Nothobranchius furzeri: one gene and its partner. The protein of the gene in region 2 interacts with the protein of the main gene of each other region in a biochemical or structural test. Links are inferred from orthologs where the notes say so. Each region holds a gene or a part of one and is shown on either strand. Other genes may lie near its edges.

Evidence for each region.
Region 1: the proteins of eed (region 2) and ppp1r8b form a complex in vitro, tested with the Homo sapiens proteins (2 studies listed by BioGRID). The link is inferred for Nothobranchius furzeri from reciprocal best matches to the Homo sapiens genes EED and PPP1R8.

Annotation. Positions count from the first base shown.
Region 1 is NC_091745.1:72,000,204-72,004,528, reverse strand, and holds the start of ppp1r8b (protein phosphatase 1, regulatory subunit 8b), read right to left. Parts: upstream 3,018-4,325; 5' UTR 2,812-3,017; coding exon 2,762-2,811; intron 2,311-2,761; coding exon 2,250-2,310; intron 2,026-2,249; exon of another isoform or gene 1,860-2,025; intron 1,811-1,859; coding exon 1,657-1,810; intron 1,566-1,656; coding exon 1,348-1,565; intron 1-1,347. UniProt on the Homo sapiens protein: Inhibitor subunit of the major nuclear protein phosphatase-1 (PP-1). It has RNA-binding activity but does not cleave RNA and may target PP-1 to RNA-associated substrates. May also be involved in pre-mRNA splicing.
Region 2 is NC_091743.1:86,053,337-86,057,862, reverse strand, and holds the start of eed (polycomb protein eed), read right to left. Parts: upstream 3,081-4,526; 5' UTR 3,012-3,080; coding exon 2,907-3,011; intron 2,406-2,906; coding exon 2,253-2,405; intron 2,155-2,252; coding exon 2,062-2,154; intron 1,745-2,061; coding exon 1,679-1,744; intron 552-1,678; coding exon 426-551; intron 350-425; coding exon 268-349; intron 125-267; coding exon 33-124; intron 1-32. Other genes in the region: pwp2h (PWP2 small subunit processome component), read right to left, coding at 3,738-3,897, 3,993-4,067, 4,142-4,292, 4,363-4,526. UniProt on the Homo sapiens protein: Polycomb group (PcG) protein. Component of the PRC2/EED-EZH2 complex, which methylates 'Lys-9' and 'Lys-27' of histone H3, leading to transcriptional repression of the affected target gene.

The DNA of each region.
Region 1 (4,325 bases), on a different chromosome or scaffold from region 2:
AAAGCAAACAAACAAAAAAAAAAAGAAAATTGGAGATGTCGGGAAAAAATGTGGTGCAGTTAACTCATTCACTGCCAATGACGTCGTCATTTGCATTTTTTTACTGTTTGAGCATCGGCACGAGCCCCCGCCCTGAGAGAACAAACATCTCAGCCCTGAAGCTGATCTTCATCCGCATACGTCACATATCACGTGATCAGGAAGCAGAACATCCATGTGTTAGGAGATCGTTTTGGGCCGTTCCTGTAAAAAAAAGTGAGGCGCGAACCGGAAAAGCGTCTGCCGATCACAATTCGACAACGGATTATGAAAGAACGGATAATGCTCGAAACACACGGCTTCTTCCTGATGTAAGAGGTGAGTCTCCTCTTTGTTTTTGGTTGTTTTGGCATTGACATCATGCTAGCGCGCAACGTTCTGTGACTCTTAAAAAAAATCATAAAAATGGTGAGAAACGCTGGCAGCGAAGGCCGTTACCCCCAAATTCCACTACCTCCATTCCGCTCTGGTCCGGTCCGCCCCGCCTTCCGCAGCCGCTCGCTTCCAAACTCAATTTTTACTGGTACCCGCTCTACAACGGCTCCGCTCCGGTGCGGAGACCTGAGGTGGGCAAACAAGCATGCACGGGATTTTCGAGATCTTGCGATACAGTCCGAGCAATAAACGCGGAAGTTAGATCCAAACACCCGTTGTGTGGGAGAAGCATCGGCATGAACTGTTTAATCTGCCCATCATTTGTGTTGAGAGATCAGCAGTGTTTGGATGAACAAAGTGTGACTACTTTGATAGTAGAAACTGTATTTATGGCTTACTTTTGTGCATTTAAACTTCAGCCGCCACTGATAGTTGTTAAAAGTTGTTAAACCTGTGCATATGAAACAAAAAACGCCTTTTTTTATCGATTTATTGTGAAAAACGGAAGTTGTGCTTGCTCCTTTTCCTGTTGGGCGGTTGTGATTTCTGTCCATTTACTGCGGAGGTGCTCCGGCGTCCGGCGAAAATAGGATCGATTCTATTTTTGCCGGACGCCGGAACAGAGGGCAGCGCACTGCGCCGCATTGCCGGAGCACGGCCGCAGTAGTGGAATTGCTCTGATTGACTACAACGGGACCGATTTTGCTCCGGCGTTCGTGTCGGAGCGGAGGTAGTGGAATTTGGGGGTAAGTGATCAGGAAACGGCTGGCAGTGAGTGAGTTAAAAAACCAAACACACTGAGATCATTTCACACTGTGGCTAATTTGCATACAAATAATTCCATTAAGATGCCACAAGCGCAAAACAGGATGTCAAAACAAGTCAAGAGTAACAAGCGGCGAGTCAGTGGAGCTGATCTGAATTCTAACAAACCTCCAACTCTGTCTCTTCCTCCGGAAGCCCGAGCAGTCCTTTTAGCTCCTCCTCATCTCCTGTCTTACTGTCGCCGGTGCCAGCGCTTCCTTGGGTTTGGGGTTTTTCTCTGATGGTGTAGGTACGTGTTGACGCCCCGAAGGATATTGTAGAGTCGATTGGAACCTGCTGAGGCTTGTGAGGCTCAAGGCGAATGTGTCCGAGGAAGGTACCATGTGCTTAAATTGTAAAAAAATAATAATAATTAGGATTAATACATTAAAAGAGCAGAGTGACTGAGAAATAATTAAAGTGTTTGTGAAATCTTACTGCTATTAAGATCTATAAGGAAGAGCCTTTTTAGGTGTTTATGGTAGACTAGAGCGGCGTGAACACGCGAGCACGACTGATGGTCGATGGTGAAGTCACACCAGTCGGGGTTCCTACCAAACAGGTAGAACTTCTTTTCATCTATGATCAGTTTCTACAAGGAGAAACGGATGGTGTGAATTAGTAATGGCGTACATTAATGCATTTGTGCCTCTGAGTTATAACTCAACAGTGTTGCTTTCCACTGAAGGGCTTAAATCTCAGGGCTGATGTTGTTCTCGCACCTTTTGAAGCCATGCAGTCATAGGTTAACCCCATTGTGCAACACGCACAGGGCGGAGCAGACTGTCAGGCTTGTATCTGGTGCTTTTAACATTTGTACAATAGTAACAATCACATGTGTGTTCTGCTATGTGGAAAACAGAATCATTAGATGTTTAAAATAATAAGGAATGACATTTTATTGTGGAATTTGCTTATGTTTAAGAGATTAAACAAATCTGGATTTTTAACTTAGAAATTAAATAGAACTGAGATAATTAAAGCTGATTTTAAAGAGTCCAAACTAAATAACAGTTTAAATTTCCAGTTACCTCAACCAGTTTGTCTCCTTTCATCACGTCTAAGTGCAGTCCTGTGGGCGGTTTTCCTCCCCTATAAGAAACAATTAGAGACTTATTTAAACACTGAACTGATCTCAGAAAATACAGCAGTGCATAAATATATTTACAGCATATTTAACCATTTTATAATCTAATTTTAATTCATTTATTCAAACATTTAGCTCTTTTCACTCGAACCGAATACTTCAAGAGCATATCTGTCAAAAAATGTCCTGCTGTCACCTCTATACGTTTCAACTAGGTGAGAAACTTTTAAAATCAAGCCTTTCATTCATTTTCAAGCAGAAAGCAAACCGTGATCCGCATTTAGGCTAGCCTTGTAGGAGGGGTTAGCCTGCTAGCTCGATTGGATGCTAACGCTAACGAACTTCTTTCCTCTATAAAAGTTACAATTGTTAACGTAACAACGTCGTTTTGCTCGTTTGCACATAATCAAGCGCTGCAGTTGGTATTTTAGTACTTCAACATGTGCATTTTCTCACCATGATGGGCAGTCAAAAGGTGGACCGTCTTTGCTTGTTTTAGCTGCCATCTTCCCTCTACATGTTAACGATGCATTTTGGGTAATTGTCGCTTAGGAATGCTGGGAAATGTAGTCCGGTAATAGACCACGCCATATTAAAAAAAAGTAAAAGTACAAAAAACAAGCTAATATTTCGCATTTATAGATGTGGTTGTGTGTGGAACTTATATATTGTTGAGTTTATGATTAAATTCGGGTTTTAGAGTTAGTATGAAGTAGTCTACTAAAAATAATAAAGAAAAAAGTTCAGGTAAGTCACATTTATAGTTCATAAAAAACACTAATTTTATCATCACAAATCTACTACTGTGTGTAAAGTTGCAATTTGTTATCAAAAGAGAACATTAACGCGCAACAGGGGCGGAAACAGCTACTCACCTAATAATGATTAAATAAAAACAAATTATATAATTTCAGTCCAATTCTGTTAATATTAAAACAATAGACCTTAAATGATAAGTTTTTCTTTATACTGGAAAGATAATGTACATCATAACAACATAGTTTTGTTTAATGTAAACTGATTCTGTTTATATGTTTCAGACAGATGGAGGTGACAAATTTTACTTTTACTTAAGCAGCTTCTCTTCAGCCCAACAAAAACACAAATCAAGCACACGCAAGGGTGCCCCCAAGGGTGGCCAGGGGTGGCCATGGCCACCCCTAGAAAACAGCTTTTTAGTGCATTTTGTGTGACACAGCCAGATGTTTTTATTTTAAAACTTTTAACCTTTATTTAACAAGACAAAGTATTTCTTACAACTGTGGCCAATCCAAAGGTAGTGCCTTTTGACAGAAGGATGGGCTAAATTGCAAAAGTTACCTTTTCCACAAAAACAAAACAAAAACAATATTTTACAAGAACATCTAGATTGAGATGACTTACGGTTTTCTGTTTGAATAATTTAAGTAGCCCAAGACATTTGAGCAGATTCATTCAGATGATAATTTTAAAAGCCACTATTTTATTATTTGATAAAACCAGGCCATTTGTTTAACCAACAAGGATTTATCTCAAAGTCCATTTAGAAATGTTCATTAAAAAAAATTAACATTAAAAATTTGTTTGGTGTTTTTTAATGTTTCAAATAAGAAAAAAAAATGTCCTTTTTGTTTTAAGAGATATTAACATGTATTTGTCAAAAATGTGGCTTTTATAAAATTTAAAGTTCCTAAAGAAACCACTGGAGGTCTCTGAACTCCAAATTGCAAATTCTCAGTAAAGACCCAAAAAATAAAGTTTTGAAAAAGTTTGAAATGTTGGTTTGGAAACAGCGATACCACAAGCCTCCTACAGCATTTGTTACAAAGATTCAGCACCTAGAGTTTAACACAGAAAAGGGATGAATAAGTAGCCAGATTCGACTGACGCTTTGCTTATTTTCTCTTTCTGATTTGTAAACTGTGGGTTTGAGGGTCATAGGCTTCGGTCTTGTCATAGAAAAAGTAAAGCTGCCATACTTTTAGTTTCTCTTTAAAGCAGAAGGAAATGAGCCTGCAGTCTTTTTGTCCTTTTACAAATA
Region 2 (4,526 bases):
TAAATTGTGATCAAATGTAATGAAACACCTACAGCGCTCAGGACTTCGTCTCGATGGCCTTCTACACCTCCAAATATGGCCACCAGTGTATCCGTCTGGATGTTCCACAGACGAAGAGCGTGATCTAAAGAAAATTTCAAATGTTACAAATCATCATTTATTCATTTTCACACAAGTAAGCTTTTACTAAAAACACTGAATCTGTCAGGGAAAAGATCCAGGAGCATCTGGAGGCGTGTCGATGACCATCACCATCAGGGGCTTTACCTTTGCTGACAGACAGGAGAAGATTCGGATCCCTTGGGTGAAACTTGAGCTCGTTGATGGCGTTCCCGTGACCCACGTAGTGCTGGATGGGAAACAAACACACTACTAAATGACCCTCAAAGCCACATTTTCAAAGAGGTTCTCTACAGGAAGACTACCTTGATGCACTGCATTGTGATGTGATTGATGACCCGAATGATGCCGCGGGACCCGGCTACAGCCAACAGCGGGTGGCTGGTGTTGGTGTCATAGGTCCAAGCACACGTGTAGAAGTTCTCATCTGCCTTGGAACGCGTTCAGTCAAGAAAATCGCAGAAATCAAAAAGTTTCTGACATTTCTGCAGCTACTGATCAACTCTTGGGTCTTTCCAAAATAGATGTTGAGAAAAAGATGATTAACCCTTTAGGCGCCATAGTTTTTTCAGTAAAATATAAGTTTTTCATATCACTACTTAAAGAGCTTGTAGCTTAAATCTGGTTAGAGATAGAGGAATATTGTAAATTAGAAAAATCTTCAGTATGAGCCAAATTTTGTGATAGGAACAAATTCACTCACACAATTTTCATACTATGACATCATCAGATAGCAGCCATATTGGATTGCATCACATTTGCGGATTTGTTTGTCTTATTTTCTTAGTGTTGTTATTGTTTATGATACATATATGTGTACATAGGAATATGTATATAACTATGTATGTGTATATATATATATATATATACATATATATACACATATTACTTTATTGGTATTTTGTTATGTTTACTGCGTATCAATCAAGAACACTGTTTTTGGTGCTTCAGTGTCATGAACACATTTCACTCATCCCTTCTTTAATTATAGTTTATTTGGTTTATAATTGTTATATATATATATACACACACACACACACACACATGGTTACTATAATGGTTAGTTTTACCAAACTCACAGGACACACCCACTCTCTCAGGAAGAAAGCTTTGGTCATGCGTCAAAAACATGTGAAGTTATGTTTATCTGAACTCTGTTAGCTGGATAAGGTGAACTTGACCTCCTTTGCTGAACACATCTTTTACTGTCATCATAATCATTATTATTATACACACATTTATATAGCTAGATAGATGATAGCTAGATAGATGATAGATATAGATAGATAATAGAGGATAGCTGATAGACAGGGGCTGAATTGATCACCAGCAGAGTTTTCAACGGCCCGATCACCGCCACCACATTCCCCATGCATGAGGGCTCATTTCTGCTGCTGTGGCTTATTAAATCCAACATTGCTGCTTGTCGCAATTCTGCGACTTTGGCGCTTAAAGGGTTAACATATCTGTAAATCTTCATTTACTGATCTGTATCTAAATTAAAGAACAACAGATTCCTTTTTGTGAAGTTTAGTTTGAGCCAAAGCAGGAAGGATACATCTGCATCAACGTACGACTGCAACAGTCGGATCTCTCCCTGAGAGTGGCATTCATACAAGGTTACCTGTTAGAGAAATCAGAAATATCATTTATGTAAAACTAAATGTTTTTCACAACAAGAAATGTGTATTTTTAATGAAAAAAGTCCTGAATAATCATCATTCTTTAAAATTTGTCAAATCTCTTATTTTCTGTAACAGTAAATTAAGGACACTTGAAGCAGCTTATCAGACACAAAAGGACGTCTGATTGCTTGAAAGGCATCACCATCTTTCTATCATGCAAGATATGGAACTGATGAGCAGAAAATTGATTCTGAACTAGAAAAATTCATGAAAACACCCAGAAAAAGCCAAATAAAATCTGTCTGCTTGGGGTTACCCTGTTACTCCCGACTGTGGCGAACACCAGTGGGTCTCCTTCCTTACTGTGCCAGTTAAACTGGACTCCAAACAGTGGCTGGCCATGGTCCTCCTGAAAAATATCCACAAAGTTTCACTCCCACTTCACCTGTAAACTAAATTCTGTAAATGATGATATTTGAATGTATTTAGAACAGCAGACATTCTCACTCTTAAACTGTTAACACATTTAAAAGAATATCTGCACTTCTTGGACTTCCACTTGCCCTTGCCCCAGCTCTTCCTGCCTGGGGCATTGGCGGTGTTGGTGGGGGTGTCTGGACGCTCAGTGTTGGTCCCACTTTCAACACTGACCGCATCATCCTGTAAACCAGAGATGCGGTTACTGAAAGACAAGATGTCCAAAACAAAACACCCAACCTAACCACATTCATTTTATTGGACAAGTACCAGTAAACCTAGGCTTTATTTGGACAGAAATAAGTGAAACAAATGTTTGAAGCACTTTTAACATGAAAAACAGACTACCAGCAAGTTTTTCCTTTCCTCAAAATGAAAAATAAACATTATAAACTGCATTTGAACACTTATTTTAGGAATTTGTAAATAAATACAAGCTTCTAAATCACTCCTGCTGAAGCTAAATCGAACAAGCCAGGCTTTTTGAGGTTAAATATAAAAGCCCATGCTTCTGTGGGTCACATAGACTGATTTAGAGCCATTACCACCATCAGAACCACAGCTGCAGGTGAACAAAGATGCCAGCTAGCTAAGCTCTTTAGCTTTCCGGCTTCTTGCTTTAGCGCTGAGCTAACCGGCTAAAACGTTCACTTGTAGTTGCAGAAATGTTTATAGAGCTCTTACGTTCTCGTCTCCTGACAAATCGGGGTTGCTGTTCTCGTCACTGCTTAGTTTTTGTTTTTTGGCCGGTAATTCTTTTCCCGCTTCAGACAGGCTCTTGTCTCTCATTTTAGCTCCGAAGGCTAACCCGCCCGCTGTTCCTTCTTCTTCAATCTAATTTAAGGCAAGGTGAACTTTCAGAAGGCGCTCTGTCACCCCCTGTTGGTCACGTTTAGTTACTGACGGAGAAGCTTCCACTTTTTGAGTTTTCTGCTTTATTTCACTTTGGACAGGATTCAGATCGGTTTAAAAATAGTAAATCCCGTGTTTTTTTTAACTCCCTAAACAACCTATTTGTTAAAAAGAATACATTCTGCTCTTAAATTGTACATTTAAATGTCTAACACAGTAACTTGGGACATTTCAAGGCAATATTTCCACATTCTTCAGCTGTAAAAATGTATTTTTTCCTTGAAAATGTCGTACTATTTACCTTTGTTAGTATTAAATAAAAATAATATTTTAGATTTGTTCTTTTATATTTCTAGAAATACTTCTTTTGACTTAATACTGCCCAGCAAAGCTAGTTTTAACCACAAATGGCAATTCAGTCTTTAAGTGTAAATTTCTAATATAAGTAAGAAATAACTCCAAAAATATTTTTTGCGTGCCAAATTGAAAGATTAACCCGTAGCAGCCTCTCAAATGAATAAATTTACCAGAAAAAAGCCAAAAACAAGAAAGACACTTTTACTGAATTTATTATAAAAACAGGCTATTTTAATATTTAAAGTATGGAAAAATGGACTTTTACAGTTGAACATCTGTCAATCTGAGACATTTTTAGTAATCAGACTACAAGATCATCTCTGAGTCATCTAAAGAGGCTTCGCTCATCTCCTCCGACAACCCTTCATCCTGCTCTTCTTTCTCCTCCTCCTCGGCAGGCCTCTTTACACACTTCTGCTTTGAAAGCGCCACAGCGTAACGGATGTTGTACATGTTGAAGTTGCAGCTGTGGAAAAAAAATATATATAAATATATATATTTAATGACTTAATGCTTCATTTTAGTTATGATGATTAATGGAGCAACAGTGTTGAGACGTACAGCTTTGACAGGTTGTCAAAGTGTCTCTGGATGCTCTTCTGAAGCGCCTGCAGCGTGGGCAGAACCGAGCCAGACCTGCGGACCATAAGAGATCCAGTTAAGACACTGATGATGATAATGATGATGCGAGTCGAGGCAGCCGTGTCGACCTGTTCTTTAGTTTCTGTCCGTGCAGCATCAGCAGGTTCTGGGCCCAGGTCATGTAGAACTGCAGGTGACCTGACTTCTCCAGACAATCGGCCACGAAGCCCAGGAGCTTCTCCACGTAGACGTCGGGCAGAGAGCCACAGACCACCGGGACTGAAACACAAACTCAGTCAGGCGTCAGAGGTCCAAACTCTCCTGGCCGACGGTTTTTAAAGCCACTCACTCTGATCGTGCGGCACCGTTTCCAGAACTTCCTGCTTCAGGGCGTTCTCGTTGAGTCGGAACGCCAGGACAATGGCCGCCATCCACTCCTTTAGGCGCAGCTGTTTTCGGATGCTGGTCGGCGTCACGTCCAGATCCAGATCGTATGGGTCGAAGACCAGAGAC